Tribolium castaneum: one gene and its partners. The protein of the gene in region 3 binds, or shares a complex with, the protein of the main gene of each other region. Links are inferred from orthologs where the notes say so. Each region holds a gene or a part of one and is shown on either strand. Other genes may lie near its edges.

The links.
Region 1: MED20 (region 3) and MED1 share a complex: the UniProt entries of both Drosophila melanogaster proteins name them as parts of the mediator complex. The link is inferred for Tribolium castaneum from reciprocal best matches to the Drosophila melanogaster genes MED20 and MED1.
Region 2: MED20 (region 3) and MED9 share a complex: the UniProt entries of both Drosophila melanogaster proteins name them as parts of the mediator complex. The link is inferred for Tribolium castaneum from reciprocal best matches to the Drosophila melanogaster genes MED20 and MED9.
Region 4: MED20 (region 3) and MED21 share a complex: the UniProt entries of both Drosophila melanogaster proteins name them as parts of the mediator complex. The link is inferred for Tribolium castaneum from reciprocal best matches to the Drosophila melanogaster genes MED20 and MED21.
Region 5: MED20 (region 3) and MED4 share a complex: the UniProt entries of both Drosophila melanogaster proteins name them as parts of the mediator complex. The link is inferred for Tribolium castaneum from reciprocal best matches to the Drosophila melanogaster genes MED20 and MED4.
Region 6: MED20 (region 3) and MED8 share a complex: the UniProt entries of both Drosophila melanogaster proteins name them as parts of the mediator complex. The link is inferred for Tribolium castaneum from reciprocal best matches to the Drosophila melanogaster genes MED20 and MED8.
Region 7: MED20 (region 3) and MED31 share a complex: the UniProt entries of both Drosophila melanogaster proteins name them as parts of the mediator complex. The link is inferred for Tribolium castaneum from reciprocal best matches to the Drosophila melanogaster genes MED20 and MED31.

What each region holds. Positions count from the first base shown.
Region 1 is NC_087399.1:8,917,791-8,922,674, forward strand, and holds the start of MED1 (mediator of RNA polymerase II transcription subunit 1), read right to left. Parts: upstream 3,260-4,884; 5' UTR 3,118-3,259; coding exon 3,099-3,117; intron 3,036-3,098; coding exon 2,896-3,035; intron 2,847-2,895; coding exon 2,131-2,846; intron 2,080-2,130; coding exon 1,848-2,079; intron 1-1,847. UniProt on the Drosophila melanogaster protein: Component of the Mediator complex, a coactivator involved in the regulated transcription of nearly all RNA polymerase II-dependent genes.
Region 2 is NC_087395.1:15,956,095-15,960,984, forward strand, and holds the start of MED9 (mediator of RNA polymerase II transcription subunit 9), read right to left. Parts: upstream 3,390-4,890; 5' UTR 3,349-3,389; coding exon 3,248-3,348; intron 3,192-3,247; coding exon 3,086-3,191; intron 620-3,085; coding exon 482-619; 3' UTR 478-481; coding exon of another isoform or gene 220-477; 3' UTR 215-219; coding exon of another isoform or gene 1-214. Other genes in the region: protein YIPF3-like, read right to left, coding at 1-214; protein NCBP2AS2 homolog, read right to left, coding at 220-477; Mrgn1 (E3 ubiquitin-protein ligase MGRN1), read left to right, coding at 3,540-3,622, 3,668-3,800, 3,849-4,108, 4,156-4,343, 4,392-4,543. UniProt on the Drosophila melanogaster protein: Component of the Mediator complex, a coactivator involved in the regulated transcription of nearly all RNA polymerase II-dependent genes.
Region 3 is NC_087398.1:429,140-432,566, reverse strand, and holds MED20 (mediator of RNA polymerase II transcription subunit 20), read right to left. Parts: upstream 1,836-3,427; 5' UTR 1,700-1,835; coding exon 1,079-1,699; 3' UTR 1,007-1,078; downstream 1-1,006. Other genes in the region: Hmbs (porphobilinogen deaminase), read right to left, coding at 62-326, 379-565, 625-697, 750-794; uncharacterized protein LOC103313212, read right to left, coding at 2,041-2,113, 2,171-2,255, 2,303-2,374, 2,980-3,351, 3,401-3,427. UniProt on the Drosophila melanogaster protein: Component of the Mediator complex, a coactivator involved in the regulated transcription of nearly all RNA polymerase II-dependent genes.
Region 4 is NC_087401.1:8,393,154-8,396,600, reverse strand, and holds MED21 (mediator of RNA polymerase II transcription subunit 21), read right to left. Parts: upstream 1,756-3,447; 5' UTR 1,568-1,755; coding exon 1,526-1,567; intron 1,478-1,525; coding exon 1,262-1,477; intron 1,212-1,261; coding exon 1,038-1,211; 3' UTR 929-1,037; downstream 1-928. Other genes in the region: Set1 (histone-lysine N-methyltransferase SETD1B), read left to right, coding at 715-888; FAM21 (WASH complex subunit 2A), read left to right, coding at 2,016-2,135, 2,187-2,506, 2,554-2,746, 2,890-3,085, 3,131-3,447. UniProt on the Drosophila melanogaster protein: Component of the Mediator complex, a coactivator involved in the regulated transcription of nearly all RNA polymerase II-dependent genes.
Region 5 is NC_087397.1:1,783,930-1,787,870, forward strand, and holds MED4 (mediator of RNA polymerase II transcription subunit 4), read right to left. Parts: upstream 2,114-3,941; 5' UTR 1,992-2,113; coding exon 1,924-1,991; intron 1,874-1,923; coding exon 1,180-1,873; 3' UTR 918-1,179; downstream 1-917. Other genes in the region: uncharacterized protein LOC661495, read right to left, coding at 2,213-2,445, 2,495-3,138, 3,186-3,454; beta-PheRS (phenylalanine--tRNA ligase beta subunit), read left to right, coding at 3,793-3,850, 3,903-3,941. UniProt on the Drosophila melanogaster protein: Component of the Mediator complex, a coactivator involved in the regulated transcription of nearly all RNA polymerase II-dependent genes.
Region 6 is NC_087396.1:15,800,999-15,805,911, forward strand, and holds MED8 (mediator of RNA polymerase II transcription subunit 8), read right to left. Parts: upstream 3,057-4,913; 5' UTR 1,973-3,056; coding exon 1,454-1,972; intron 1,408-1,453; coding exon 1,042-1,407; 3' UTR 949-1,041; downstream 1-948. Other genes in the region: CTD small phosphatase-like protein 2, read left to right, coding at 1-51, 102-167. UniProt on the Drosophila melanogaster protein: Component of the Mediator complex, a coactivator involved in the regulated transcription of nearly all RNA polymerase II-dependent genes.
Region 7 is NC_087401.1:17,495,128-17,498,684, reverse strand, and holds MED31 (mediator of RNA polymerase II transcription subunit 31), read right to left. Parts: upstream 2,109-3,557; 5' UTR 1,670-2,108; coding exon 1,657-1,669; intron 1,614-1,656; coding exon 1,506-1,613; intron 1,449-1,505; coding exon 1,120-1,448; 3' UTR 1,063-1,119; downstream 1-1,062. Other genes in the region: uncharacterized protein LOC103313299, read right to left, coding at 157-186; uncharacterized protein LOC656943, read left to right, coding at 2,940-3,148, 3,201-3,557. UniProt on the Drosophila melanogaster protein: Component of the Mediator complex, a coactivator involved in the regulated transcription of nearly all RNA polymerase II-dependent genes.

The DNA of each region.
Region 1 (4,884 bases), on a different chromosome or scaffold from region 3:
AAAAAGGGAGTATAATGGGAAATTGGTCTATCGAAAATATTCGATAAAAACAATAAAAAAAAGTTCCATTTTTTATCGCATTTAGGTGTGTTTTAAAACTTCAAGATTTTTTTATAGGTATTTTTACAACCACATCGAGAGGTGATCGTATGATGAATTGGTAGGCTAAAGATGCGTTGTAAATATTGTGTGTATTTTTTGAACTTTTTTCCTGAGCCCAAGATGAATGCTTTTAGGGGTAATTTCAGAGAAACTGTAAAAAATACCTTGCTTAAGCATCAATCAATTACGTAAATTAAATTAATTTACGTATATTCATTTCATTGACAGAATTAGTTATATTAAAAAAATAAGGTATTATTAGTAACTTAGTTAAAAAAACAAAGTTAGTTAAACTAGTTAAAAAAAACACGATGTTATTTTCAGAGAGTGGATTTTAGAATTTTAAAATGTGCTAAAAAGGGATTATAATGCGAAACTGGTCCTTAATCTTAAAAGAAAAGATTTGATAAAAAAAAATAAAAACAAAAAAATCATATTTTTTTCACATTTAGATTTAGTGTTATTATTAAAACTTGTGAATCTAAAACTAATTTATTTTTAAGATTTTTAAAATTAATTAAATTTTAGTAGAGAGGCTGAGGATAGGTTGTGAATAACGTGTGAATTTTTTGAGATTTTTTTCAAATTTGAAACCCCCTCAAACTCCAGAAAAAGAATGCGTTGTATTTGGGAGAAGGTTCGAAGAAATTATTAGGGATGCCTTGACTAAGCATTAATTTATATATTATTAAATATTCAAATTATTAATTAAAAAAAACAATTACAGGACATAAGTTTCTAATTTCCAGTCTAATTTTGATATTGTTAAAATCTTTAATAATTAAAACCTGCCTAAATAATTTTTTTAGAGTTATTTTCATACACAAGATTTTTTTGTCCCATCCGCCATGTGTAAACAAAAAGTAAATTAATCGTGGTTTCAAAAGTTTCAACAAAATCTACCATTTATTTATAAAGTAATTCTTAGAATTAGTGCCTTTTAAATTAACAGAATTTTATAAAGATTGTTTAGCGATAAAAATGTAAGGTCTTTTTTGTGTCCCGTCCGTCACCAATTTGTATTCTTTTTCCTGCTCATATTTCAAATTTTACAAATGTGGCTCCGACTATTGTAGGTTGCAAATTGTTTGACTGGTACTAAGTTCCTATAAAGAAAAATTCACTTCTACTGATACTGGTGATAAAAATTGGTAAAAAATCTATAGTGTCCCGTCCGTTAAAATGAAATGGCTGCTTATATATCAAGAATTGAGGTGGTTAATTAACTATTTTTTGACGTGAAATTAATTGTTTTTTTAATAATAATATAATAATAATAATTTATTTGTGGCAGTAAAACAGTTACAATATAATTAATTACAACAAGAAAAAAAATACGATAACAAAATTAAAATTTTCTACGAGTTGTTCCTACCACAAAGTGGACCAAAAGACAGCAAAGCTGATCAAGGTTTTGACCCAGACAATAAATGAGAAATAACAAAAAAATAAACAATTTGATTGAAGAAAAAAATAAAAAATATAATAATAATAAAATATCTAATTCTATTTAACAAAATTATAGAGCAAAAAAACACATAAGAAAAATCATTTTGTAAGAAACATTTTGTATTTATGTTTAAAATTGCTGATTTTAGAATTTTTTAATGTCAGAGGAACTTCATTAAGTAGATTATTTTTGATTATTTACCATTTTTTGGCTCTCGAAAAGTTTGTACCGCAAACTAGGAGAATCAGTAGTCAACATGACCATTTTTTTATAAATATTATTGCCAACCACTTACCACAAAAAGGCCCTTATTGTTCCCAGACTCCATTTTCCCTTCACTGGCGTGATGTACTATTAAACTAAGTAACGGATGAGTTGCTGATTGTTCTATAGTATCCAATTCAGTAACTTGTTGAATTTGTCTAACTAAATTGACACACATTGGCATTGGTTTGTTTAATTTGAGGACAAAACAGGCCGGAATTGCTGCACTATTTTGGCTACTTAGCGATGAAAAAGACGGCGTACTAAAATAAATTTCCCTCAAAGAAAAAAAAATTTTTTTTAATAATTTTTACCTTTTCCCGTTAATATTCCTATTAACTGTGATGAGAGTGGTCGTTTGCAACTTATGTGTAGCGGACCCTTCCATACACACCGTCACACTGTACCCCAGCGCTTTACTAACGATCGTATCAACAGTAATAGGTTCAATATCACATTTCTCAACATTTAATAAATCATAAGGAGAGACAAAATAGGTGAGTTTCATGGGGTGTCCCCCTCGGCGCTTCTCCAGCACCCCAACCGGAGACTTATACAGCAGGTTGAAAGGTTCCTTCATGAAAGACTGCAAGTGAGCCAAGGTGCTCAAATCAGACTCCAGCGACTGCAAGGCTGTGAACGCCTTACACTTGACCTTTTTCTCAGCATTGAGCTGGTAAATCGAGGCAAAACCTTCCAACTGGGCAGTGAAATCGGCAAAATCGCCACTAGATAAACAATTGACGAGCTCAGCGCAACTCTGTTGCTCCAATTTACTGTCATGGTGCACTTTCACGTCTTTGACGGCCCCCGTCTGGTCGAGCACTATCTCCAGGTAGAACATGTCGGAGGAGATGAAGAGCTCCACCCCCGAGGGGCCCACCATGAACTTGAGCCCCAGCTGCCGCGTCAAGCTCTCCAGCCGCTCGATCATGCTCTGCAAGGACGTCACTTTGATGGAGTGCTGCAGAGTGTCGAGGCATTTCTGGTGCTGGCTCTTCTCGACGCTGTCCAACGCGTAGCGCTTGTCCTGAAAGTAGGGCATCAATGGAGGCAGTGCCAGACATGACATAACCTACAAGCATGGCCATTCGCACATTTTTGGATATCTCTGTCAAGCTTTTGTACTGCGACGCCTTCGAGCGCAGCTTCTCCATCAATATCTCCAACTGCCAGTCTTTGGATTTGTCCACAACGGACGGTGGCATCGCTAAATTGCCTTAAAAGTAAACAAAGTTGTAAATGTCAAAAGTCAAACTCTTGGCTGGGGCGCGCAACCCACCGTTTGTTACGCGATTCATGATGAGTTCGGGCGAAATTAACGTTAAATGTTCGTAAACATTTTCTATTTGGGGCGAATTAAGGGAAAAAAACCGATTTTTCGAACATACATCAGCACCAAACAAAAACTTGACAGTTTCGTTACTTTCCCCAATTTAGGGATATTTGGCTACGCCACCGGCGCCCAATTCAAACTCGTGTCTGATAATAACAATAACAATAAAAATATTCAAGTGCTTTTCCATTCATTTGTGTTTACCAACTCTCAACTTTATCAAGATTTGATACTTTGGAGTGCTTTGAATTGGTGGCACATATGTTGTGCTTATTGCAACGCAAATATTTTAATGAAATGTGGTCGTAAAACAAACTCCCGGAATTAATCCGCGTTTTTTACCAACGAATTTCGTATTAGATCCGTCAATGACAATTAAAGCCGTAATTCGCTACAACTTTTCAACTTTTTAGATCGCAAGAAGTTGCTGACACGATAATCTCCTCATCTTCCCCCAGAACTGGAGCAAATGCCCGCTAACACATCACAACTAAGATAATAGTACACCATAGGCACATTTCCAAAATTTTGAATAGTTTATTCTCGTTTTTTTTTTTATAAAGAAATCAAATACGTTGTGCGTTAGTTTATACCACATAATGTTTTTTTTTATTATTTTGTAGGCATTCAACAAAAATCACATAAAATTGCTTAGTTTACTGTATTTCAAAATTTCTTAGATAGATGTTTTTTACAAAAAATGTTTCCAAACCGTTAAAACATGATATGAGGGAGTTTTAGAAGAAATCAAGCAAGATTGACTACTTTATTTTACTCCATGTGATTCAGATAAAATGAAAAGCTTTCAAAAACCAAATGCAACAAAAAATAATTTACACGAAGGGTGTTTTACATTTTATTTCTGTAATAAATTAATAATAGCCCCCGTCACCTTAGGTATCGTCTGATATTAAAGAAGAACCTTGGTCCCCTTTATACCATTGTATTTGCTGTTTCAAAACTATAAAAACGTCAACGTCACATTTTCTCACAAAATTTGCTGTGATGTGTGCTGTTATAAATTATTCATGCAGTTGAAGAAAATAATAACTAATGTAATTTATACTTTCAATGAGATATCTAATCATTAATAACTATTTTACAATTTTATCAACCTTATTTAAAAAATATTTGGTAAAGTGCGTCGTTGTTGTTTTTATAGTTTTGAAACAGCTAGTGGCAGATTTAGTGTAATAAAATTAAAAGAAAAAAAATTGTAGTAGTTATTTTTTTTAACAAGTTGCTTTGTAATACAAGCATAAACTAAATAACTCAAAATTGCCAGAAATCACGTAAATACATTAGTTTAATGAGTTATAAAAATTCATCCTTTTAGTTTTACGAATAGTTTTATTGAATTTTATAACAAAATTTATATTCTTCTTCAATAAACATTTCCAGAAATTAATTAAGTGTATTTAGAAAACATTGGTATCATTATTAATCTTGTTTTTCTTAAAAAAAAACAGAATAAAATTAAACGCTTTAAAGACAGAGAAGCTTCGCCAAAAAAAAACAACAAAATAGTATTTAAATAACGGTAGCTTACCATTCTCACCACAATGTTATTATTAGAGACCGGATTTTTGGACTTTAAAATATGCTATAAAAGGATTATGGTGGGAAATTTGTCATAAAATCTTGAAGAAAATATTTGATAAAATAAAACAAAAAATTTAAAAAATTTTTTGCAATTATATAAGTGTTATTAAATCTTTTGAATCTAAAACGA
Region 2 (4,890 bases), on a different chromosome or scaffold from region 3:
CATAATTTAGCAAAGCAGCCAATAGAACAAGGGCCAAGACCGGCCCTTGCAAATCAACGTAAACCTTCTGATACTTTTTGGAAACCGGCGGCACGAACGCGGCAAAAACCCGAAAAATCACATCGTGTGGCGGCACGAGGAACAACGACTTGAATTTTTGGGCGCAACTTTTCGGACTTTTCTCCGGGGAGCCGACGAAAATCACGGTCGCCATGGCGTCTATTTCATTTTGTGTTTGAACTCGTCACTGGCTTGCTTGATCTGTCCTTGCAAATTCTGGGCGATTCGCTTCATCAAAGCGCGGAACTCCTCGGGCGATAGCCGCTTGTCAAGACCCCGCTCCTCGATGAGATTCTTGCCGTGGTAGACAGCTCGCACTACGACCTGCGCCGCTTTGCGCATAGGGTACGATTCGCTCAGTCTTTGCACCAACTGTTCGTTGTTTGCAAGCAAGCGGATCAGGAGGCGAAACACCATGCTGTTATTTGGGGACTTCAAACGAGTACATGTAGCGGTATTTGCGCAGGAGCTCTTGCTTGAGTTTCAGCTGCGTCTTGAGGGCCTCCAAGTGGTCCAGTTGCTGCTCTTTGCTGTACTCAATCCCGGGCAATAGCCGGATCTGCAAGGGGTTGGTAGTCTAAGATTCGAATTACGGTCGTTCTGCACTCATCTGTTTAACGGATGAAGCTTATTTTATCAAAAATGCGAGTAGGTAAAGTCCATTATTTATCTTTAATTGTTAGAAAAGTAATTGGTTCAGAATTCTTGTCTCCGGTTTGCCTATGGCATCAGGAAATTCCAACATACTTGGGCTTTTGAGGAAGGAGTATAAATAAAGTTTTTCAAGTTTTTTCACTTTGAATCATTCTAGGTTCATTTTCAACAATGTAATATTATTTAACAAACACAAATTTAAAAGTGTTGAAATTAGACAATCGAATTTTGCATGATTGTGTAAAGTATTGAAAATTAACAAGAAAAAATGAAAACTTAAAAAAATAAAGATCAAATAATTGAAAGTGGACGTGAGGCGACCATGCTATATAAAAATCAAATTAACAAAACTTGGACTTTATTTATATCACAAAATAGTTACTTCCAAGTCCCACTGATGAAATAATCTTCCGTCGTGACATACATAATGTTACCGTAAGTCGCACAAGTCTCTTTTAAAAGTCCCTTTTTTAATGTAGCTAAAGATTATAATAGCATCCATCGACAGTTCTAGAAATTGAATCTTCTTATAGTTTCAAGGCTGCAATATTTGACAAATAATTTTCCGAACAAGGACAGTCATGGGAATCTACTGGTTATTTTGTACTGGTTTGTTATGTCAATTTTTTTTTATTTTGTCTTTATTCATTTGCTGTATATTTCTTCTTGTTTGAAAGGTTTAAGTGGAAGAGCAGAGAACAGCAACTTTGCTGTTCATTTGAAACCACCTGTTTATTCGTACATATAACGGGTTTTTATTATTATTATTTTTCCTTAAGTTGTAGATACTAATCACCTGCCTCATCTAAAACTACTTTCAAATATACAGAGTAATTCAAAAGTACTCGTACAATCTCTCGGGTGCTGATAAAGGACATCAAACTGAATTAAAAGTTCCTATGACAAAAAATTGTTTGAGTCTTTTTTCACGAGATAGCTACAGCTCTTCAAAGTTAAATTTTTAAGTTAATTTTTTGATGCTTCGGACCATATTTTTTTGACCTTAATTAGCAGAAACGACATCTCTTGCAACATTAAACAAATACCTGTTGAAAAAAATTAACAAATAATGTCTAATTATGTGCAAAACAATAAAAAAACTTGTAAATTCGACAATATCTTAAATTCAACATATTAGGAAACAAAAGAGAAACAATCGATACCGTTGCTAAGGAATACAAACTTAAAAATATATAAAAAAATCTGACTTCATTTTTGTGCTTAACTGAACGTCTTTTATCACCATACGAGTGTTTGTCGAACATTTTTGAATCATCCTGTATAGGATATTTCCGAAATTAGCTACAATACAAACTTATTTTTTTAAGAATGTTCAAAGTTAAATTGGTTAACGCATGCAATTAGGAACGTAGAAAAATTATGAAGTTTGTTAAAAGTTGAATAACATAATAAAAGTTTTTGTTTTTATTTTTCAAAGATTATTAAATTGTCTACTTAAAAACAAAGTTTCAAATGCCTAACCTTTATAATTAAACAAATATTTGACTTTAAAATTTAATTTCATCAACAATGCAGATTATTCATGAGGATTACTGTTACCATAACCTTAGCAACTTCACCACGGATCATTTGTTGGAGTTTAAACAGGGATTTAAAAATTCGCCATAGATAAGAAAATTTTAGTTATTTTACTGTGAAAAATAACTGAAAAATAATAAAGTTATTATTAGCTGAAAATTTTACTCTTCGACTATTGAAACAATTGTGAATAATTTTTAATGACTTTTTTTAATGTTTTAAGTTAAGTATAATCTTTTGAGTAATCAGCACTTAACTGTTAATGTTCTTTAATAGACAATTTAAAGGTCTTTTAGATGCAAAAATAAAAAATACGGTATTTCATTTAAGTTTAAAGTTATTCAAATTTTAACAAGCCTCTTAACTTTTTTTATTTTCTTGATTGCAGTGAGCTAAAAAATAATTATATCCTTAAAGTTTTCTAACGTGGAACCATAACTTTTTTCATTATAGTGTAATTTGTAACATATTTTGCTCAATACTGAAGTCGTATTTGCTATTTCCCGCTTCAATTATCTGATTGTTTTCTCAAAAACTACAATATTACAACCCCACCTCATTTTCTCAAACAAGTGGACTGAGGTTGTTTTTCCCCTGTAGCCTTCAGTTGTAAAATACTGAAAAAAGGCTAAAATTCGACGCTTTTTAGCCCCCTTTACCATGGCCTGGAACATTTTTTTTAGGAAACCTATTCGCGATACAATCCTTTGGACTTTGGATATTATCTCTGATAAAAAGATATTTTCATCCGGTAACCAGAAGATAGTACAGTATGATCCTAATTCGTATCCCCTACTATGGGTATGAAGTGATTAGGGTGGAAGAAAGTTACCTCGGCTCTGGCTTGGTCCAAACGTTTTTGCAACTCGAGCACCTTCTGGGAACAGTCTTGCGACTCTCGTGCCTTGGCGGTGTTATCGTGGTGGTCTTTCTCAACACTGAATGATTATGCAAGACATTACGATTTTGCCTGTCACTAATTTTATCAACAAACCTGCGTATTATTTCGTAGATAATGGGCAAGATCTCGATATTCAAATTTTCCACCGTGACATTCCTCTCTGACTCCTGGTTGTGCTCGTCAGATTCCATCATAGCAAGGCATTTCCTGAATTTTCATTGAATTTTCTTTCCCACATGAATTTTCTGACACATTCACTCAGGGATTTTGTGTCCCTGGTGTTGGCGACGACGCCTCAAATGTCACAAGTGTCAATAATAATGTCAAACTAAAAACAACAATAATTTCTGATTTTGGAAAAACTTGGCAATTTCAAGCCCGCAGAATGGGTTCGTTGGCTAGCAGACAACACGCAGGGGTCGAGGAAGTGGACGTGGTGTCAAACCACGCGTACAAGTACCCGCCCAGGTCTGGTATGTCGCTTTGCTTTTTTCCGTACCAATTACCTTGAAGGCGTTTTTCTGAAGGGAACTACTTCGGGAGCCACTTTATAATGGGGGGCGAGCGCTTCGACACCCCCCAGCCCGAGTCTTACCTCTTCGGCGAGAACTCCGATTTGAATTTCCTGGGCAGTAGACCAACCCCTGTAAGTAGCCATTATGCGGTTGTTTCGCCCCCACAGTGCCGTTTCTAGTTTCCCTACCCCCCGCCCCAGCCTAATGAGCCCACAAAAACGCTCAAAAGTCTGGTGAACATCCGGAAAGAGTCGCTGCGGTTTGTCCGCGCCCCTGCTGATTATTCCAAACCGGCGGAAAAGAACGAGCGGGACATCAGGGATATTGAGCTGGGCAAGAGCTCGACGTTTAATATCGAGTTCACGTTCGATTGTGACGTCAGGTGTGCAATAACAATCTACTATTTTTGTACCGAGGAGTTTACACCAAGTGGAGTCACGTAAGTTGGGTTTTTGTCATGGGTTTGCAATTTTATGGGGTTTGAAGGTACTTGCCGCGTGACCCTAACACGACCTCCGAGACTTTTCATTACAAACGCGGTGCGAACCAACAGTTTTGCCAAATGACTCACGTTTTTGATCCCTCGAAGTACACAGAAGAGGAGTTGTTGTATGATGTTGACCGGGAGATTATTCCAATTGCCATTCACTGTGTGGCGGAGGAAGGCGCTGAGGGTTGGTTTGACCCGTTTTTGAATTTAATTTTTGAATTGATTGTTCCAGAAATGAGACAATCACACACAACTATCGCCACAGCCGAAAAATTGTCCGACGGTACTTATGTTTTAAAAGCTCTCAAACAGAAATTATTCGTTGACGGTCTTTGCTACCTCCTGCAGGAAATATACGGCATTGAGAACAAAAATAACGACAAGGTGATTGATTATTTACATGCCCTACTGGGCATAAATACACAGTGAAATCTCTCTTAACGGACACCTATAAGCGGAACTCTCTCACAAACGGACAATTTTGTTGGCACTAAGCCACAATAAATAATACACATAACTTTAAAACCTCTTCTGAGGCCAGAATCTAAATCAGTTTACTATTGAATAAAACATGTATTCTTTTTTTTCTGACGAATTGTCATAATTAACATGCTGTCTGCTTGAAGGCGAGATTTTGTGTTCAAGGATCTGATTTGCATTGTCTGCGTCCGTTTATTGGAGCGTCCGCTTAAAAGAAAAGCAATTCCATTTAAAGTAAATTAGCTCAAAAC
Region 3 (3,427 bases):
AAAATTGTAAAAAATGAAGTTAGATAACAAGTGACATATTAATATAACATATAAAACCCACCTTGCTTATTCTGCTAGTCCACCCCATCCTAATGAGACCCGCAGAGGCCAAAATAATCGCTTGATATTTCCCCAACTCATCTAATTTTTTTAACCTAGTGTTTAAATTTCCTCTAATGCTTTCAACCTTGAGATGGGGGTACTTTCGGGCCAATTGTGCTCCCCTCCGTAGACTAGAGGTGCCAATGACGCTTCCCTCTGGTAAAGTCTCTAATAAATATTTGTCATGATCTTTTTGCAACACTAGAGCGTCCCGCGGATCCTCTCTAAATTTTACGAAAGCTAATTATAATCATTACAATAATAATTAAGAAAAACCTAGTCAAAACAGCCCCAATTGCCATTCCTGGAGGTAATACGGTTGGAAGATCTTTTAATGAGTGTACAACAAAATCTACACAGCCTGTACTTAAAGCTGCTTCAAGTTCTTTGGTGAAGAGAGATTTTTCACCAATTTTTGGTAACGGTATATCTAGGACTTTATCTCCTAATGTACTCATTGTTACTAAAAATAAATTTTTGAAATAAATAAATAAATTTTGGGAATTTTTTGCGAAACCTCACCAATTTCAAAATCCTTCCCAGGATGAATTTTTTTGAGCAGTGAAATCACATGTCGCGTTTGAATGAGAGCCAGCTGAAAATGTCAAATGAAAAAGAGCCCACAATAACAAACACGTGATAAATACCTCGCTTTTCCGGGATCCAACCCGGATTTTCTCAATCTCACTCATTTTTGTGCTTTTTCTCTCAAGTAAGGAACAATTACCGCAAACGCATGATTATGTTTTCATGCTGTTTTATTGAAAAAAAACTGCTTCATCACCACTATCACATTCTGCCCTACGTAAGTGCTGATAGAGGTGAACAATCAACTTTCCAAATTATGTAATTAGACAAAGACGCATAATAGTCTAATGTGTGGGAGTAAAAGAGAAAGACAATATAACCTCAAAATTGTTTTTATTTAATTTTTTCTTTACAAAAACTTTGAACCTTACAATAAATTAGCTTAAAATTAGGGCCTTAAACCGGGGGCCTTCCTAAATATCGTAAACTGCTCCAAATACTGATGAATTGTATCAATGGGGGTATACAACTCCTGCATCCTGTTTTGCAAATACGGTGGGGGCGTTGCAGGCACCGACGACCCCAAAAACCCCTGCAGAAACTCCCGCATCAACTCCCAACACATCGCAGGCACCACACATGGTCGATACTCTACTTCAACCAGAACCCCCCGAAAGTTCTGACTTACAGTCACTGTTCCCAATTTTACACAAAAATCACCGATTTCGTATCGCGGCCCCTTCGACTCGGCCTTAGTCTGTTTTTTTGATGAGTAAAAACCGGACATTTTCATCATCAGGAGATCAAAAAGGCCGTCAGTTGCGAGAGGAATGGTCTTTTGGCCTGTCTCAAGGATCGAAAAAACAGTCGCCGGCTGCTCGGAATTGTGAAGGACGTGGACTGTACGTTGGTGTCCCAAAGCGGCACAAGAAGTAAACGTTTCGCAATCGACGAGAAACTGGCCCTGTTGCAGGGCCCCCAGGGCGGAAATTCGCTTCGAGAGGAGCTCAATGGTGGAGGGCCCCGTGCGGTTCTCTGTGGGGAACTGTTGTAACACTGTGACCCCCATTTTAAGTGGATTTTTGGGGGCTAAATTGAGGTTATTATAGCTTAATGATCGTCAGTGGTGCCAACTTAGCTAGGTGTCAAAAATGCTACAAGTTCAAAGTCGTTGACCCCTTATCTCTTGAATCATAATGTAAACATATGTTTTATATTTACCGTATTTTTGGATTTGATTTATAACAATAAATTTTTTTGAAAATTGCGTTTTTATTTTGGTAAACCTTAGCTAACGAAAATTCCTAGTGTTCTTACGCGCCAAACTGCAACTTTCAAAGTGGTGGAATAAAATAGCGATTATTAAATAAAACTTTTATTATAAAAGTGTCATTTTTACAAATAAATAATTCAAGGCGAGGCTTTCTCACAACTTGACAGTGGCAACGTTCCTAATTCTTCGTCAGCAAATTCTTCAGCGTGTCTAAAAAAAAAACAAGATCAATGGATGAAAAAAAATTAGTCTAAATTAGCAACTTACTTTTGCTTAATTTTATAAATGTAAAATAGAACCATAAAATTTATCAAAAATAAAGCCGCTATGAGTAAGGCCGGTGCTAAAACATCTGAAAAAAAATTAACAGCAACCTAAACAAATCATAAAATGCGTTACCTGAAACCATTTCGATATTTTTCGATTTTCCGATGTCTTGAACAGTTAGCAGAGGCTTTTGTTGAAGTTTTTCTGAAAAAATGAGTAAATTTAGCCTTGTTCACGAGTCGCCGCTGACTTAATGAATGTGGTCTGAAGCGCAATTCCGCAATTTGATAACAACAAAACTTTTCATAATGATTTTTTTTATAACAATACAATATAACCTCAACTGCTTTGTCTAATTGGACGCTAAAAATACAATTACATGAAAAAAAACTCTAGAAACACTCACTATTTGCCTCGTTAGTGCAAACTCCTACAATTCTTTTTATCGCGAAAAACGCCTCTAGGTAATCCACGTGGTTCCTACACGATTTTCCGTTGACAACTGAGCATCGCGAGAGAGATAAAGCAATACGGGAACGTTTTGTTGAACGGAAACACCAACAAGTCAATAGGCAGAGGCGTAGACTCCATAATATAATTAGATTTTGTTTGGGAGTTTCATCGAATGCGAAATTGTTTTGTAGGGCTTACGTTCAGTTTATCTTTGTTTTATCCAAACTAGCAAACTCGCACAAAGCACGAAATGTGGAGTTTCGGCGTTATCTTTGTTCGCACACAACACTTTATCTCATTAAAAATTAAAAAGCGGGGTCGGAGGTCAATTCCATTTAGCGTCTAATCAAACTTACTAGTACAGTTGGGCAGAGGGAGGTCGACGTCCCACTTGGCCCCCTCGCAGTTGATGATTTTGGTTTTTTGTCCGTCGTCTTCAAAGGCCCGATTGATGCAGCACCTGTATTCTGCAGCTGTTTCGTTCCTATAGACCAGGTAGCCGTCTTCAGGGGCGTCGGGGGTGGGACACCCCACGGCAGTGTAGTGTATAAGCACGCCTCTGAGGGGCACTAGCGAATGGGCCGAGACCAGCACCACCTCCACGAACTCGCTCTCTGACACCACCTCCAGCGGGGGGTCTTGGGGCTTGCACGTGGTTTGGACCAACTGGCCCGAATCGAGAATCTCAAGCCGGTCGCTGCATTCATCAGGATGCGTTATCCTGTCGGCTGGATTTTTTTTAGCGGGGATTTAGGGAGCGCTATTGGTTTTTATTACCAGTGATGGAGATGTCCAAAACAGTGA
Region 4 (3,447 bases), on a different chromosome or scaffold from region 3:
TTTTTTGGCTTGCATAAGGTCTACTAAGGGCACTGAGGCAAGTTTAGCATTCGGAGATATTACCTCCTCGAGCTTTGATAACTGCCTCCGTTTTACGCGACCTGCTGTAATTTTAATAATTTGACATTTAATTAGCTAGCCATGTTTTTAACCAAATGTTTTAAAAAAAGTGAAAGTTACTTGAGAATTCTATTATCTTATATCATCAATTTCAGTTCTATTTTCAATCTCTTAACACTCAAAATCTTGCAATTTAAGTGATGCGATAATTTTGTGGTGAGTCTAGTTTCGTGTTAATATCTTGGAACCACAAAATATTATACACAACATAGAACAATTTAATAATGTTTTAATATTTTAAAGAATAAATCGCTTGTTGAAAAAAGTGTAAGGAACAAAGTTGTAGAGAATTAAATTTCCTATAAAACAGTTTGCGACAACATATTTCCATTTTCAACGGTGTAGGTACAATGTGTTTTTAAATGATTCTTGGTGTACGTGTAATAGAAAATTTTATTCTCCATAAATTTCTTCGTAGGATTTTTCTTGTGTTCTTGATTTGTCCATTTGTTTTTAAATTAATTTAAAACGACTTGGCGCCGAGACAGTATAATGCTCAAAGCGCCCTCATTTTTACATTTTGGGTACGATTTTGTATCTCGTTTCGTTTCCTAAGCGACAGTCTTCCATAACCCGAAAAAATGATTTTTACAGCCGAATTGCTACGCCAAAGTCATCACAATCGAGTCGCAAAAGAAAATAGTGATCTACTCGAAACAGAGCATAGGTGTGAACGAGGAAATTACTTACGATTACAAATTCCCGATCGAGGACGAGAAAATCCCGTGTCTGTGTGGCGCGGCCACGTGTCGAGGAACACTTAATTAAAGGGAAACAAGACAGACTTTAAACCGAGTTAGTTACTATATAAAATTTAAATTATCTTTTTTATTTGTATATATGTTTCTGTAAATAGTACATGGTTATTTGTGTTTGTTTTTCATCACAACCGCAAATAAAATTCATTAACAGCTCACTTAACTATCCTTACTCCCCGCTTTTGTCAAATGCTGCATGTCCAGCTGTGATTGGGCGATGTCGCTCAACGCCGCCTGGATTTGCTCCAAGAGATCCTGACCTTTACGAACTATAGCCTCGAGACGCTCAGCAGACTCTTGATTGTCTGATTCCAAAATTCGCAAGCTTTGCAACTGAAACAGTGTTTAGTCCGCGGTCGGACCAAGTCATTGTAGATAGGTACCTGTAATTCGGTTGAATTTTCCTCGCTCGGGAGCGATTCAATCAAAGTATCTATGTCTTTGGCACAGCGCGCAATCAACGTTGTGAATAACTGGACGTAGTCTTCTTGGTTCTGTTGCTGGGGGGTTTGGGAGCCACTCCTGTCGAAGTTTGGGAATTTGCTAGGAGGGGCGAACTGTTGCAAAATCCCAATGCTGTTGCAGAAATGCTCGGCTTGCTGCGACAACACGAATGCAATTAGTGGTACAGTCTTAGGGGGAATTACCTGATTTATGCAATCCTGGAGCTGGGTCAAACGATCGGCCATTGAGGTTATGTTACCCAATCACCGACAAGTGATAAGACCCGAAATCACATAAAAACCAACACTGATGATAATTTGTTATCTCCCGAGGTTTAATATGCGACAAAATATATTAATTCGTACGAAATAACTAGAATAATACTAGAAGGTGAATGACATCTTGCAAAAACAAACACACATGATTGCCAACCCAAATCTGGTTGGGTAAAGTCTGCGTAAATTAATCCCACCGGGCCGAAGTTACATTTTAGTTATCACGCCTGATTTCAAATATAGTAGAACGGTTTTATTTACAAATTAATTGGTTTTATTTAATCAAATAATAACGCAAAACCGGGGAGTAATAGCCAACCCACGAGTTGAAAGTCCCCAAGTCAGTTTTTGACAGATGTCAAATTATTATTATTATTAATGAAAAATAGCAATTACAGGCCTGTTCAGCGCTTTAGAAATGTCCGGGGCCAAGCCGTGGGAGCGACCATGGTCCATGGACGAAATAATCCAAAATTCGGACAATTGGAATTTAGCCGGAGATGTGGCCCTTTTGAACACTCTCAAGGCTTTTGCAGACGTATTTCGCATTTTTGGCCCACATTGAACCGTTTCAGCGTTCAATTTTTAGAATCTCCTGACTCGAACAACCGAAATCAACAATAACTTGCAAAATTTGACAAGCTCCCTGTCTGAGACAAGTCTCCAGTTGAATATAGCCCAAAACGAGTTTCAAAGTTTGCGAAACAGCCAGTTTATTGAAAGTCGGGTTTATGAGGACGATGAGACTTTGGAGGAGCCGGTTGAGGCGAAAGCCGAGGAGAAAGAGGTTGATAAGACTGAGGAAATCAGGTTGGCGGCTTTGAAGGGTTTGGAGGTCTTGGAGACGTATTTTGAGAAGGTTGAGGTGTCGGTCAGTGACAGTGAAGACGACGATATCGACTTGCCCAAGTAATTTTTTTCTAAATAATTTACAAAAACTAGTTTGTCTTTTCCAGTTTTGTCCTCAGACCCAAAGACTTGTACCTGGAGCGCCCCCTTCCGTACGTAATCGGCTCAGAAGAGTGGCAAAAGACGTGGCACGTGGGCCTGGAGGACTCGTCCAGCGATAGCGAAACTGAGAAAGTCTCAGATAATTTCAGTGAAAGCGACTCAGAATCAGAGTTGCCAATTATTCCCGACAGAACACAGGTACTTTACACATGTTTTTCCACTGGTTGAGTTGCACTTGATCCATTCATTATCATAATTTTATTGGTCTATTAACCGGCCAACCGAATTTTTTGTTTAGTCGCGATCCAGTCGCCATGGGCAATATCTGGTTCTTTTTCCAGATCAAGGGCACCTCTGATACCAGTTCTGAGGACTTGCGAACTGAACCGAAAAATTTCGTCAATTCGAGTGATAGTGAAAACTCAGTTCCGGTGCAACCAACTACCAACTTTGCCGAAGAGTTGGCGGCGAAATTGGGGAACGTGATTGATCAAGAGTACGTCAATCGACGGCCAATCCAGAAAACGCCACAATACGGTAATTGTTTTTGGAAGCGGACCGCAGACTAAACGCTAATTCCAGATAACCTATTTTTCGATGAACCGCCGCCTTTGGACGAACCTAAGGGGTTGTTTTCAGGGGGTAAGGGCTTGTTTGATGACGATGATGAAGCCACGCCCCCAACCCCCAAACCCGAATTGAGACAACCCCCAAAACAGGACTTGTTCGATAGCGATGATGATGATATTTTTACGAAAAAAACCACCTCTTATTTACAAAATCCTGTCAAAATGCCCTTGTTTAGCGACGAGCCGCCGGCCCTAGACGACAAGAAGGTGGCTAAACCAGTGGGCGGGGTTTCAATTTTTGGGGGCGGCGACTTGTTCGATAAAAAATTA
Region 5 (3,941 bases), on a different chromosome or scaffold from region 3:
GCGCAAATACATGTAATAATTAATTGACAGTTCGGAAAATGTGGTACTGTATATATCTGTAAAGTTAAGTGTATAAGAAACCCGATTATTTATAAGTACGTAATGACAGTCTGCTGTACTGAGCCCTACCAGCTCACTCTCATTACGTTTCCAGTCCTTTGAAAACGTGCTCTAGGCGAATCAAATGAGAGTATTTTTCTTGATATTTGAGTAAATTAGGTAACAAGAGAAATTCCGTTTGTTGCAAAGGTACTATTATTTTTGGAAAGTTGAGACACTTTGTGCTGTTCTACAATAAGTGCATCGCCACTACCTTAACACATGGTAATAATGGGAGTAGAGCTGTTAAAAAAGAATCAGTTATTGTCGATATTCATTAAAGCGTTGTTTAATCAAAGTGCATTGTTAAGCTCAAGCACCACCAGTTGATCAAGCCTTGGAAATGAGTCGCCTGTATGTTATTGATTTATTGATACCCATATCGCGTAATAATGACAATAAATAACTCGTTTGTTAAAGTATTTCGAAAAATTGATTACAGTTGGAAACTTATCATTATCGATACTGTGATACGATAATGTCATTGTTAAGAATATCGATAATATTCGGTGACTTTCTCTCGTTTTTCAGCCCTAGCTCTGCTGTAATAACGCGGTTTAATTTTCAAATTATCACACTACGACCCTGTGATAAAAAACTCACATATCCGATAAAAATTTAAATCAAAAAACCTACTTGTAAATTTGTACCTATCATAAAGACGCAATCAAAACAACAAACTTGTTTTTATAGAAAGTGAGTGTTGTTTAGAAATTTCAGAAAATGAGAAACTGCTTCATTTTTGTGATTATCATTTCATCAAACAATAAATTTGAATCACTTCAGCTTGTAGGGAATAATTAAATAATAGACGTTGGTATTACAATGAAATGTGTTTTATTTTCCTTCCATTATAAACAAACATAAGAAAACAATATTCGTCAGACGCAAACAAAGATCTTATCTAAACTGTCACGAAGAGTTGATTGATGAGATAAGCAGACAAGACTTTTTCCCCAAATAGCCGCCTCAATCTATTGATTTATCATTTTATTTCCCCTCATGGTATACTCTCCACACAAACTCGCTTAATTTTTTTATATAAATATGATGAATCAAGTCCAGGGAAAAAACACAAAACTACTGAGAATCGCTTGAGGAACTGCTGCTGGAGTCCGTGGACATGACCTCCACATCCTCGGTCTCCTGTTTATGGTTCCGCGTGTCCATCGGGACACTCCCTTGCCCCACACTCATGTGAATCTCCCCCGAGGGATGCCATGCAAATTGATTTTGTTGCGCGGCGGGTATTTCCCCCGGGTGCCCCTGTCTATGTAAATCTGACAAACTGTTCTGCTGTTGCAACAAATGCCCGTTAATTGGATCGCTCATCAGCCGCCCCAGCAGCCCCAACCGCATCTCAATATCGGTGGGGTACGGCCGGCGCGGGTCCCCCTGTTGCCACGTCAAGGGGGCACATATCGCATTAGACGCGCTAATCCTGTGCGCAAATTTGATAAGTTCCTCGGACGAGACCGGCCGTTTATTTGCGCGGGAAATGGACTGGAGTTTCTGGTTGGCTTGATAAATCGCAGTGGCCAGGATTTGCTCGGCCTCTTTGAGCTGTTTTTGCAAGTTGTTAATGTCGTTGTCCTGACGCTCCACTTCGGCCTTCAAGATGTCCATTTTTTTGTCGATTTGCGCCTGTTCAGCGGCCAGTTTAAGGGTTTCAGTCAGTTCGGTGTTTTTGGCCACCAAAAGCTCGGTCAGTTGAGCGTATTCAGGGCCGGAAAGCTTGAGGTGCTTGGGGGCGATTGAATTCTCGATTATTTCTCTAAAAAACGCAAATAAAACCATACGAAATGACCCGAAAGGGGGACGTACTTGGAGATTAACTCAATATCGTCGAGGATGTAAAGGAGTTTTTCCTTCGTGCTCATTTGAGACGACATAATGATGGGGAAAAACACTCACGGGTTTAAATATTAAACGAAATAATCAATTGAACAGTTTTTATTTCGAACACAACCTCAAATACACAAATGTCAAAATAACGCGCACACTGCGATGCCATCTGCCCAGAGAATAACTAAATCGTAAGAGCGGGAATTTTAATCGAAAAAATTACTTTATTGAAAGAAACCTAAGCTAAATTAAAATATATACACAAAATTCAATTCTCTTCACTCTTGACTTGAACCGCCGGCTCTTCCTGCTTCACATCGTCATCCTGTGTCTCATCTTTACTATTCTCATGCAATAAAACGTACTCCCTTGAGCTGAACCCAAACTTGATCACGTCTTTCTCCAACAACTCCACATATTTACTCGGCTCTATCTTCTTATTATTGATAAAAGTCCCATTAGCCGAGTTCAAATCAATCAAATACGGCCTTATTCTCTTCCCTGAAAAAAACAATGAAAAACCCAACACACTACCAGCTGTCCCACAAACCAGTGGTGCCATCCTCACGCGTGAAAGGGACTAGGCGATACTGCAAAGCTGCGTGTTGTTTTGAGCACGAAGGGTGATCTACAGGGAGATCAACAACTTTGCGATCGCGCCCAATCAAGTAGGCGCTTTCGCGATGTATGTATAAAGTCTGAAGGGCCTTTTCGCCCTTAAAAGGGTACAACCGCCACCGACGTTTCGGCTTGCAAGCCTCAGGCGGCTCGCTATATTTTATAACAACGCCACGATAAGTGTTAGTTTCTTCGGTAAGTTTTCCCGAAAGACCGAAATTCGGTTTTTGCTTTTCCTTCTGGTCTTTTTCCTTCTTGTCGGATTTTTTGTCGTCCGACTCGCGGCCCCAACGGGCGTTCGAGTGGTCAAAGGAGGCGCTTCTGCTACGCCGCCTTGGATGGTTCTCTCTGTTTCGCTCCCGGTTGTGGTAATTTTTGTTATCGTCCCGTCGGTTCCTGTAATCCCGTTCCCTGTCTCTGTAATCAGGACGCCGGTTTCTGAACCTGTTATCGTGAGAACGGTGGTCATTGGGGCGGTTTCTCCTGTCGTCATGCCGCCCCCGATCGTCCCGGACCCTCTTATCGTCCCTCTCCCGCCTGTCCCGATTTTCAGGCACAGGACTCCGCTTGCGTTTCCTTTAAACACAACTAGTATTTTCCCTTAAAACCACCAACAATCATACCTGTCGGTTTCTTCCTCATTTGTTGGCTTTTTGTCCCTCTTTTTTGCCTGTTTATTCGCCTCGTCACTTGCCACAGGCGGAGTTTCGTGTTTTTTATGCGAGTTTGCCTTCGTTTTGGTTTTCTTCGGCGATTCTTCAGTCTCAGGTTTCGATTCGGTTTTCTTGCTTTTACGTTTCGGGCGCCGTTCGGGTGATGAATCGGAGCTTTCGCTGCTTGAATCTGATGAACTGGAGCTGCTGGAAACGCGCTTCTTCTTCTTTGAGCCCATTTTTTGTTTGTTTGGGCGAAGTAACTTTAAGGTTATAAGAAACGCTACGTCTCGCAATTGACAGGTGTGCCAATACAACCGGCGAAAAAAAATATTGTGGGAAAAAATTAATTAAATTTGCATTATTATGTTCCGATTATAGTTCTGACGAAGACTAATTGTTAAATAATCTTAAAAACTGGCGTTTTTTCTCGAAAACTGATCGCTGATGCTGACAATTGACCCAACCTCAACTTTTGACATTGACAGGTCCCGCACATGTCATCGTTTTTTCAGTTGTGAAACACTTTAAACGTGTTCATTTTTAGACAAAAACGTGATAGTAAATAAAAAATACAATGCCGACTGTGGGTGTCAAGCGCAATTTGCTATTCGAAGCCCTTGGGCGCACTTTCAGTAAGTTGTTTGATCACTGTGCCCCCTTATTGCCCCAATTTGCAATTTCCAGCCGACGATGAATTCCAGCGTTTATGCTTCGAGTTCGGTC
Region 6 (4,913 bases), on a different chromosome or scaffold from region 3:
GATTCGGAACTTATGAAACTGTTACCATTTTTAGAAGATCTTGTGCAAATGGTAAGCAAATTTTGAATTGTTTGGGCAAAACCCAATATTTCATCTTGCAGAAAGAGGATGTTCGGCCACACATTCGCAACAAATTCAAACTCTTCAGCTACTTACCCCCCGATTAATTGGCAGCTGTAGTCGCATAGACAATCTCATACCCACGTAATACTCTGTTTGTTTTCGTTGAGTCCCATTGCGTTGAAGTACTGACTGACGTCTGTTGTTTCTTTAAATTATGACGCAACTGGAGGTGCCTTTCGGAACGTCTTTTATACATTATTTTATAAGTAACCGTTTTATTCAACTGTTGTGTTTTGTCGGTGATTTAATTGTGCAATATGAAAGAAATTATTACAATTGGAGGTTGGTTTTAAAATTGAGAGAACCTAGATTGTATATAATTATGAATTGTTGGTCAGTATTTTAAGAAACAAAAGTATATTAACAAATTAGAGAGTATAAAGAGTTGAATTCTTTTATTGTACCACTTTGTATATAGGGAACAAAAACTTAGGAAAATTCTCTTGCCATGTAAGGAAAATATATGACCATAGAATAGTTGCAATTTATGCACAAGAGTATTTTATTTGTTGTTTGTTATATTTTTTTAAATGCGTATTATACGTAAACAGGGTCCAGTCACCCGCGTTACGTTGTAGAAAATATTTTTTTAAGTTGTTAATTTTTGTTTGACTGGGTCCCAAGTATTCTAAATGTTATATGTTTTATATTTTATATAATGCGTAGCATGTGCTAACATACATCGTGAAAATGTTCAAGTTCCGCTGTACTTATTGGAAAAGCCACCCGTTCCGACCAGCCACACTTCAACCATTTGTTGATAGTATAGTTTCAAAGTCTATAAAATTAATGCTTTTTATAATCTACTCATTACGCTACAAAGTGTTAATCTTTGTTTCCACTGTTATATTTAGTTATTTTTGTAAGATTATATCTTAATAAATAAATATATCTCCGTACACATTAAAAACTATTTCACTAGCGTCCATATGGATGTATTTGGGTGGCACTTTTGATGTTAGTCTTAATAGCAGAGGGCGCCTTATTCATCGTCATGGTTTGCGTGCTGGGGGGCATCTGTCCTTGCCCGGGAGTGCCCCCTGGGCGCCCCTGCGGAGGCACCATCATCCCTCCCGACGTGGGATTGGGCTGACCGTTAGGGTTCGCCCCCATCTTGAGTCCCTTCCCCATTCCAACAGCCGCCACAAGCGAGTGAGTATCAGCCACACTGGAATTCTGCTGCGTACTTCCCCTGGCGGAAGACTCAACTTCCCACTCCTCCCTCGCTTTACTCACCAGTTCCCAAACGTGGGACACAACCTTTTGATACGCAGCAATTTGTTTCTGAAAGTTTGCGTTGAAACATACTCTACCAAAAATTTTAACATACCTGTGCGTTCTCATACGATAAAGTTGACGCCTTGTGTTCCAATTGCATCATTTTATTCTCCGCCAACGGTTCTAGTTTGGTTCGAAGATAATCTGGGACTAAATCATGGGCGAAGGTTGTGACTCTGTGTTCGGTCATTTGGGCCAATTGTTCGTCCCGCTCGGGGGACAACATGAGGGGCAGTACTGTGAGATTTCTGAGGGTGGGGCATTTGTCGTGGCTTAAAACCTTCGAAAGGGAGGTGAGTTGGCCGGACATAAGGGCGTAATTGTCCAAAAATGTGGGCCAGTTGAGGGTCTCATATTCATTCTCCACCTTGTAAATCATTGAAGCTATCGATGATTTTAGGTCGTTGACACGCTGGATTATGGAATCGAGAGACGATTCGAGTTGTTTTTCTTCCCGTTGTTGCATTTTGCTGTATTTTTGGCGCTGTTTACAAAAACATAACCTTAACCACGATGACGGTATGTCGGCTGTGGCATTGCCGTCTCGAACTCCAGGCCTGCATGTTGACATTGTGACGTCACAGTAAGAGTCTAAATGATCATAACCTAACTTTCTGAATTTTTGCAAAAAATTAATTTTAACTATGTTGCGTCCAACGTTTTATGCAAGAAACGACGGAAAAGTGTATCTAAAGAATCCTGATACTGCAAATGTGGTCAACGAACGGTCAACTATAATTTTTATAGTGACATACGTTGTGATTTAAAGTACCTTATCCGTTTGTTATTACCCGAAAAACATATATTAAAGTTTATATTTTTTGATAGTTTAAACCATCTAGCCGTACTTAAACGTCTAAAGTTACGTCTATTAATACAAAAATTCTCCTTATGGGCCTAAATTTTGAATAACCGCGACTTAAAGACGACCGTTTTATCCAAGTTTTAACACAGGTTCTTATGGAATGCAACATGTTATTATTCGCTAAATATGTTTTAAATTAGTCGTAAAAGTGTGATCGAAAGTATAAGAATATGACGAAGAATTTTACGTCATCTCTAGTCACTTCGTGATATTTTATTATAAAATCATCCCGAAAATATTTCACATAAACACGACTGTTCTTGGTAACAGTCCAATTAGTTCGGGGTATCTTTCTTGACCATAATGATCGCAGGGATTCTTGTTTGGGAAAGGAAAACATAGGTACATAAGGACCATTCATGTTAGACACACAATTGGGAACACAACACTTATTCGGCATTTTCTAAAATTAGGAATGCAATAGGATTAAGTATGTTAGGTTTAGAGACTGAAATATGCCTTATCTGCTTATTTATTACCAAATTAAACGATTAAAAACAATAAAACCAAATTTATAAACAAAAATAATGCAAAACTATCCTAACCTATAATTGTCAAAATCACGTCACACAAGACTATAAACACACAAAATTCATTCCCTACAACGCAACCACAAAACAACAAATTCGTAAACAACAACAAATTACTTAATAACACTCTCAAAAACACCAAAAAGTACAATATATTCAAACGATGCGAACAAATGTCACGACTCTTACGATGACGTCACAATAAACAAAAGCTAGTAACCTGACGGCCTGGAGTTCGAGACGGCAATGGCTGTGGCCCTAGAATAACACTTTAATAGAAGCGGAACATAATGGTTGGCAATGAATTCCTAGCTGAAGCCATCTAGCCGCATCATCACGTACTAAAAATGGCGCGAATTTAAAATAATTCCGATTACTTTATATTTTTTTAATTTTTGCTCACGTCAAAATGATGCCAATACCTTATCAAATACAATTATTATGAAAATTTCTTAATTGTATTTGAAAAGGTGGATGCACAGACAGCACAGATGGAAGAATTTTACCCAACATGACACGATCACATTTAATGTTAAAGATATTTATTAAATCCATTAAGTTTACGAAACTAATAGTCGTCACCGAATCGATGATAAAGACATACTTGCAATCAGCCAAACTGGCACCGGTCTGGCACCTTATGTTTGCAACTTCTGTCTATGGGAGTCTCCTCGCAGTGTGACTCACTTGCGGTTCGATCTCAAAAAACTCACTTTTGGGAAAAACGCACCTATCTACGTAAACCTTCTGGAGCTCATTACTACGTTATATTTTTGGAGATCATGTTGTTCCTAACCGATAGTAGGCAATAGTCTAACCTAAAGACGACATTTTGATCCACTATAATAATAAAAATTAACGTGATATTATAAAAAATAAACTCAAATTAAAATCAACAAAAATGGCGATTCAAGTAAAAAGTGAGTGAAAATAAAAATTATTTTTCTAATGTTATTTTCAATTTGCACAAGAAAATTCATAGTGTACGGTCATCAGGGCACTCAGAGGAATCGTTTGGTGTAAGTTTCAGCTTGAAAATCCAGAAGTAGTTAAAGTAAAAAATTACCAAGTTATACTTTATGTTTTATTACGTGGTAAAGTTAACAACACACGTTAACATACCCTTTATAAACGTTTAAACACCCTTTTTCATGAAAAGGTTGACACGAGAAGTGCATTTTTCAATAAATCTCACTGAAATTTATGTCGTTGACTCAAGGTAGATTTGTCTGTCCTTAAACATGTTCAATAATAATTAATAGCGCTCTAGAAGAGCAGGAAAGCACACAAAAAACATTAAAGTTAAAATTTAACACTTCAGAAGAGATCATAATACACCCTAACCCTACTTTCTGAACTTTTGTCCTTATCTGGCAATAGCACATAATAAAGGTAGAGATTTCGACCCTAAATATCCTATCATAACGCTCTGAAAGGGCAGAGATGGAGACAAAATTCATAAAAGTGTAAATTTTGTCATTTTCGGGTGACAACATAACCCTACTTTTGGAACCTACCGAATTTTCAACAAAACGAAACAAACAAACAATGTGGTTATACGCATTGCGATACCACTAATTTTCGCACCAAACTTTCACATTGCCAGTTTCTGTTTAAATAAAAACATGCATTTTTATTTTTCCATTGACTGCATGCGAAACTTTTATAATTTTAGACGTTTATAGGCAAATACATTTGTCATAATTAATTTTTTTACATCAATGCTGTTCTATTTTAAATAATTCTGTGTATGAATGTTTTTAAATTTGACGAATTTTTCCAGTGAATATTTCTGGTAATGACCTGTTTTAGACTTAGTGACGTCACATCCGTGACGTGTCCCGAGGTTAGGTGTGCGGCGCAGGCGGCGAGAGCGCTTCAGTCGACAGCGAGCAATGGCACGGGTCAGATCGCGAGCGGGAAGCAGGAGGCGAGGCGAGGTGAGTCGGGTCGGTTTATTTAAATTATTGTGTATTGTGCGGTTTCCTTCAATTTATTCAGTTTGTTACTTGCCGTTGTCGCGAACGGACGTGTGCTCAAGCAAATCTAAATTTTCCGGTTTAAATTTTCAATTCGGTGACTAGTGATCGCGTTTGAGTGACACATTTTAAATACAG
Region 7 (3,557 bases), on a different chromosome or scaffold from region 3:
AAAACCCCAGTGCTTTAAATGCGGACAATCACGTCATCCTTGACATTCCTTATCCTATTTTTAACAGTTCTGCGAATCGAGTTGCCGCATCACTTCCACTCATTTGTTTATTCTAACCTCAATAAATCGTAAAAAAATCAATAAAATCATGCTTACCTTCAATGACATATCTGGCGAAAGAATCATCACAAAAATGCACTACACAAACATTCATTCATTTTTTTGCGTGATTTCAACAAGAAAATGTGCTCAGTGAAAAAACCAACTGTCTACGAACAAATAATGGTTGGTTATGACTACGAATGAATCATGGTGCCTTTGATTAGATAAAATAATTTTATTTAAACATTTGTACAAAATAAATTAATAGTCGTAATCGTCATCCCTGTCCAAAATCCCATAATCATCACCCCCATAATCGTAATCGTCAACCCCCGGAGGCACAAAAGCCCCATTTAAGGCCACTGCGATTTGTTCGCCAAAACCCAATCGCGTAGCCACCCCATATACAAGCCTCATAATCGCCAGTCTGCAAACTTCCATAAAAATCCTGTATGATACAATATTTTTTTACCTGAGAAAATTAATCGCATTCGTTTCTTTTTGCCGCAAAATCAAACCTTTGGTATTTTTCTTGCGTATTTTCGCATCACTAGCACACAAAATTATCACAATAACGACAAAAATTATTTTGAAAAAATTCATTTTAATTGTTGGACGCATCGAAACGAAATGATTGATTTGATTGTTAATAGAACCATGTCAACAATTATTAATAAACAAATCGTGTAAGCCAAGTACACTTTTGGTGTATGAAAGTCGAGCGGATTTCGTGTACAGTTAAGTCCAATTGGGTCGAGAAACGGAACTTGTATTTGAATTTGGCGGGGCGGGTTCAGGGACTTTTGGTTTTGAGGTTTGTTACAAATTTTGCATTTTTTACGATTTTTAAGGAAAAACAAGGAACTTACCTTAATTACAGCGACAGCCAATCAATTGTGATTTGGATGGAAATGGGTGGGATTTTGGTGCAATTGGTGGGATCTTGGTGATTTATGTAACTAAACAAAAAAATAATTTATTTCACTTAACCACCAAAAAATCACATTTGTACCCTACCTAGCTGATTTTATTGCTCAAATGTCCGTTACTTTGGCTATTCTGGTTAATACTTTGTTCACCTGTCCCGTTAACATTCGAAGGGGTTAACAAACGACTCCTCCGCCTGGTGTAGTGTTGCCACAATAAAAGTTGTTGATCGTCGATAAATTTCGAACACTGAGCATTCACCAATTCCCTCCGGAAGTGTTCATATTGCAACAAATCCAAAAAATACAAACACATTGGATATTTCAAATATTTGGCGTATTCGGGCTCCTTCCAATAAAGCAAATACTTCAAATAGTTAACAAACGTACTATCCTTAAAATAACCACGCTGTGCGAGAACTAAAACGCAAAAAATTGTATTTTTTCCCTCCCGAAAAAGTGAGGTTACGTCATTACAGTTGAGATAATTAGGATTTCCGAGACACTGCACAAACTCTAGCTCAATCTGGAAGCGGAGTCTTTGCTGATCGTCGGTTTCCGGAGCCCCTGACATATAATTCCAGCCTAAAACTTGTTTATTACCTAAATTTAATTAAAGGACGCTTACCTTTCCCAGCCATGTTTGTTGTGCATAAAATGGCGCGTGATTCGAATTCGAATTTTTTTAATTAATCAATTAGGATAAATGCAAGTTCGTGTTGTAAGAGCGTGCACTTAAAATGTCACAAGTAACAACAATAGAAAAGCGACCATTAGAGGCTTGGCAAATTCCCTTGTTCTTCTATTGAAAGTATTATTCTTGCGTAATTCAATTCTCAATAATAAGAAATCGGATCGAAACGGTACATGTTGTAAGAAGCGTGTGGAAAAATCAATCGCTGGTGAAAGTAGCCCAGTTATTTAATTGAGCGGGAAATTGACCACCAATAAGAAAATAACTGACTAACATAATGATCCCCAACACGAGGAATTTTCATGGAAATTCCCATGGTGGTGGTATATGGTAATGGTATTTGTATGAAAACAGGTGGATGGGTTGCGGCTTTGTCTACAAAACATTGCTGCTTTGTGTGTGAACAATTTTATTGTTTTGTTGCTGCCTTTCAGTAAGTCGAGATTTTTTCTTTTCACTTTTGCGGGATCAATAAAAAATTTAAAGTGAGGACTTTAATCGCGTTTTTTTTGGCTCATTTATTGTAATTTTGAATTATCTTATCATTAATTATTTCATTAATTAATTTAACAATTTTCTAATTATTTAATCAGCTATTTAACGCCTGATTAGCGTTTTTAGTCTCAAATATGTTTAAAAATCATAATTTCTTTTTAATTTACTGTAATTACGGTTTAATTATTATCAGTTATTATTACTATTAAATCCTTTTTAAGTAAAGAATTAATTAAAAAAATGCTTTTCGATTTTTACAATTTTTAATTAAATTAAAGTTTCTTGGTAATCATAATTAAAATAAAAAACAAAGTCACCCTTTTATATGATTTTGCTTCATTTTTCGATCATTTGTTTTATAAAAAATTTGATGCAATAATTAATTCACTGTTTAATTTAGTAAATATCAGTAATTTATCATTGCTAATTTTAATGGAAACACATTACTTATTATTTTATTAATGTATTAATGAGAATTGACGAAATTCATAAAAAGTTCACTGCATTATTTTGAAATTTTTTTCTATTTGTTAAAGCAATTGTGCAAAAACTCGTGTATTGTTACGCGGCTACTTATCACAAGTGCTGTGTCCACAATCAAATATTTGCCGAAATCGTGTTTGACATTTCCTTGTACGCCACTGTCCTATTACCTAACTTTTTCACCAGTGGCGTGCACGTTACACAACACGCAAATAAATCAATTCTTAATCGTTTTTGAGGTTTCTCAACAATGAGCAATAAATCAGCGGTTGCGGAATTCTACAAAAACCGACACATCCTCATCACGGGCGCCACTGGTTTTATGGGGAAAGTACTAATCGAGAAATTACTACGCTCATGTCCTCAATTATCAACAATTTATTTGTTAGTTCGTCCAAAAAAAGGGAAAAAACCTAACGAAAGACTTGAAGATATCATCAATTGTCCTGTACGTATGTCTATCACTTGTCAAAATTTAAATCACACGCCTTTTTGGCTAGGTCTTCGATAAGTTGCGTGACCAACCCGACGGCGAAAAATTACTAAATAAGATTTACTGCATTTCTGGGGACATTACCCAAACTAAATTAAATCTATCAAACGATGATGAGAAAACTTTAACGGATAACGTCGAATTGGTGTTTCACATGGCTGCCAACGTGCGATTTGACCAACCGTTGAAAAACGCGGTTCTATTGAATACAGGAGGGACAAAAAATTTGCTAGATCTGGCGTGCTGTTTCAAACAATTGAAAATTTTCATTCATGTGTCAACATCATACTGTCATTGCAATGAAGTCAAACTTGAGGAAAAACTATACAATGCGCCACATGACCCGCGAAAAATCCTAGATCTA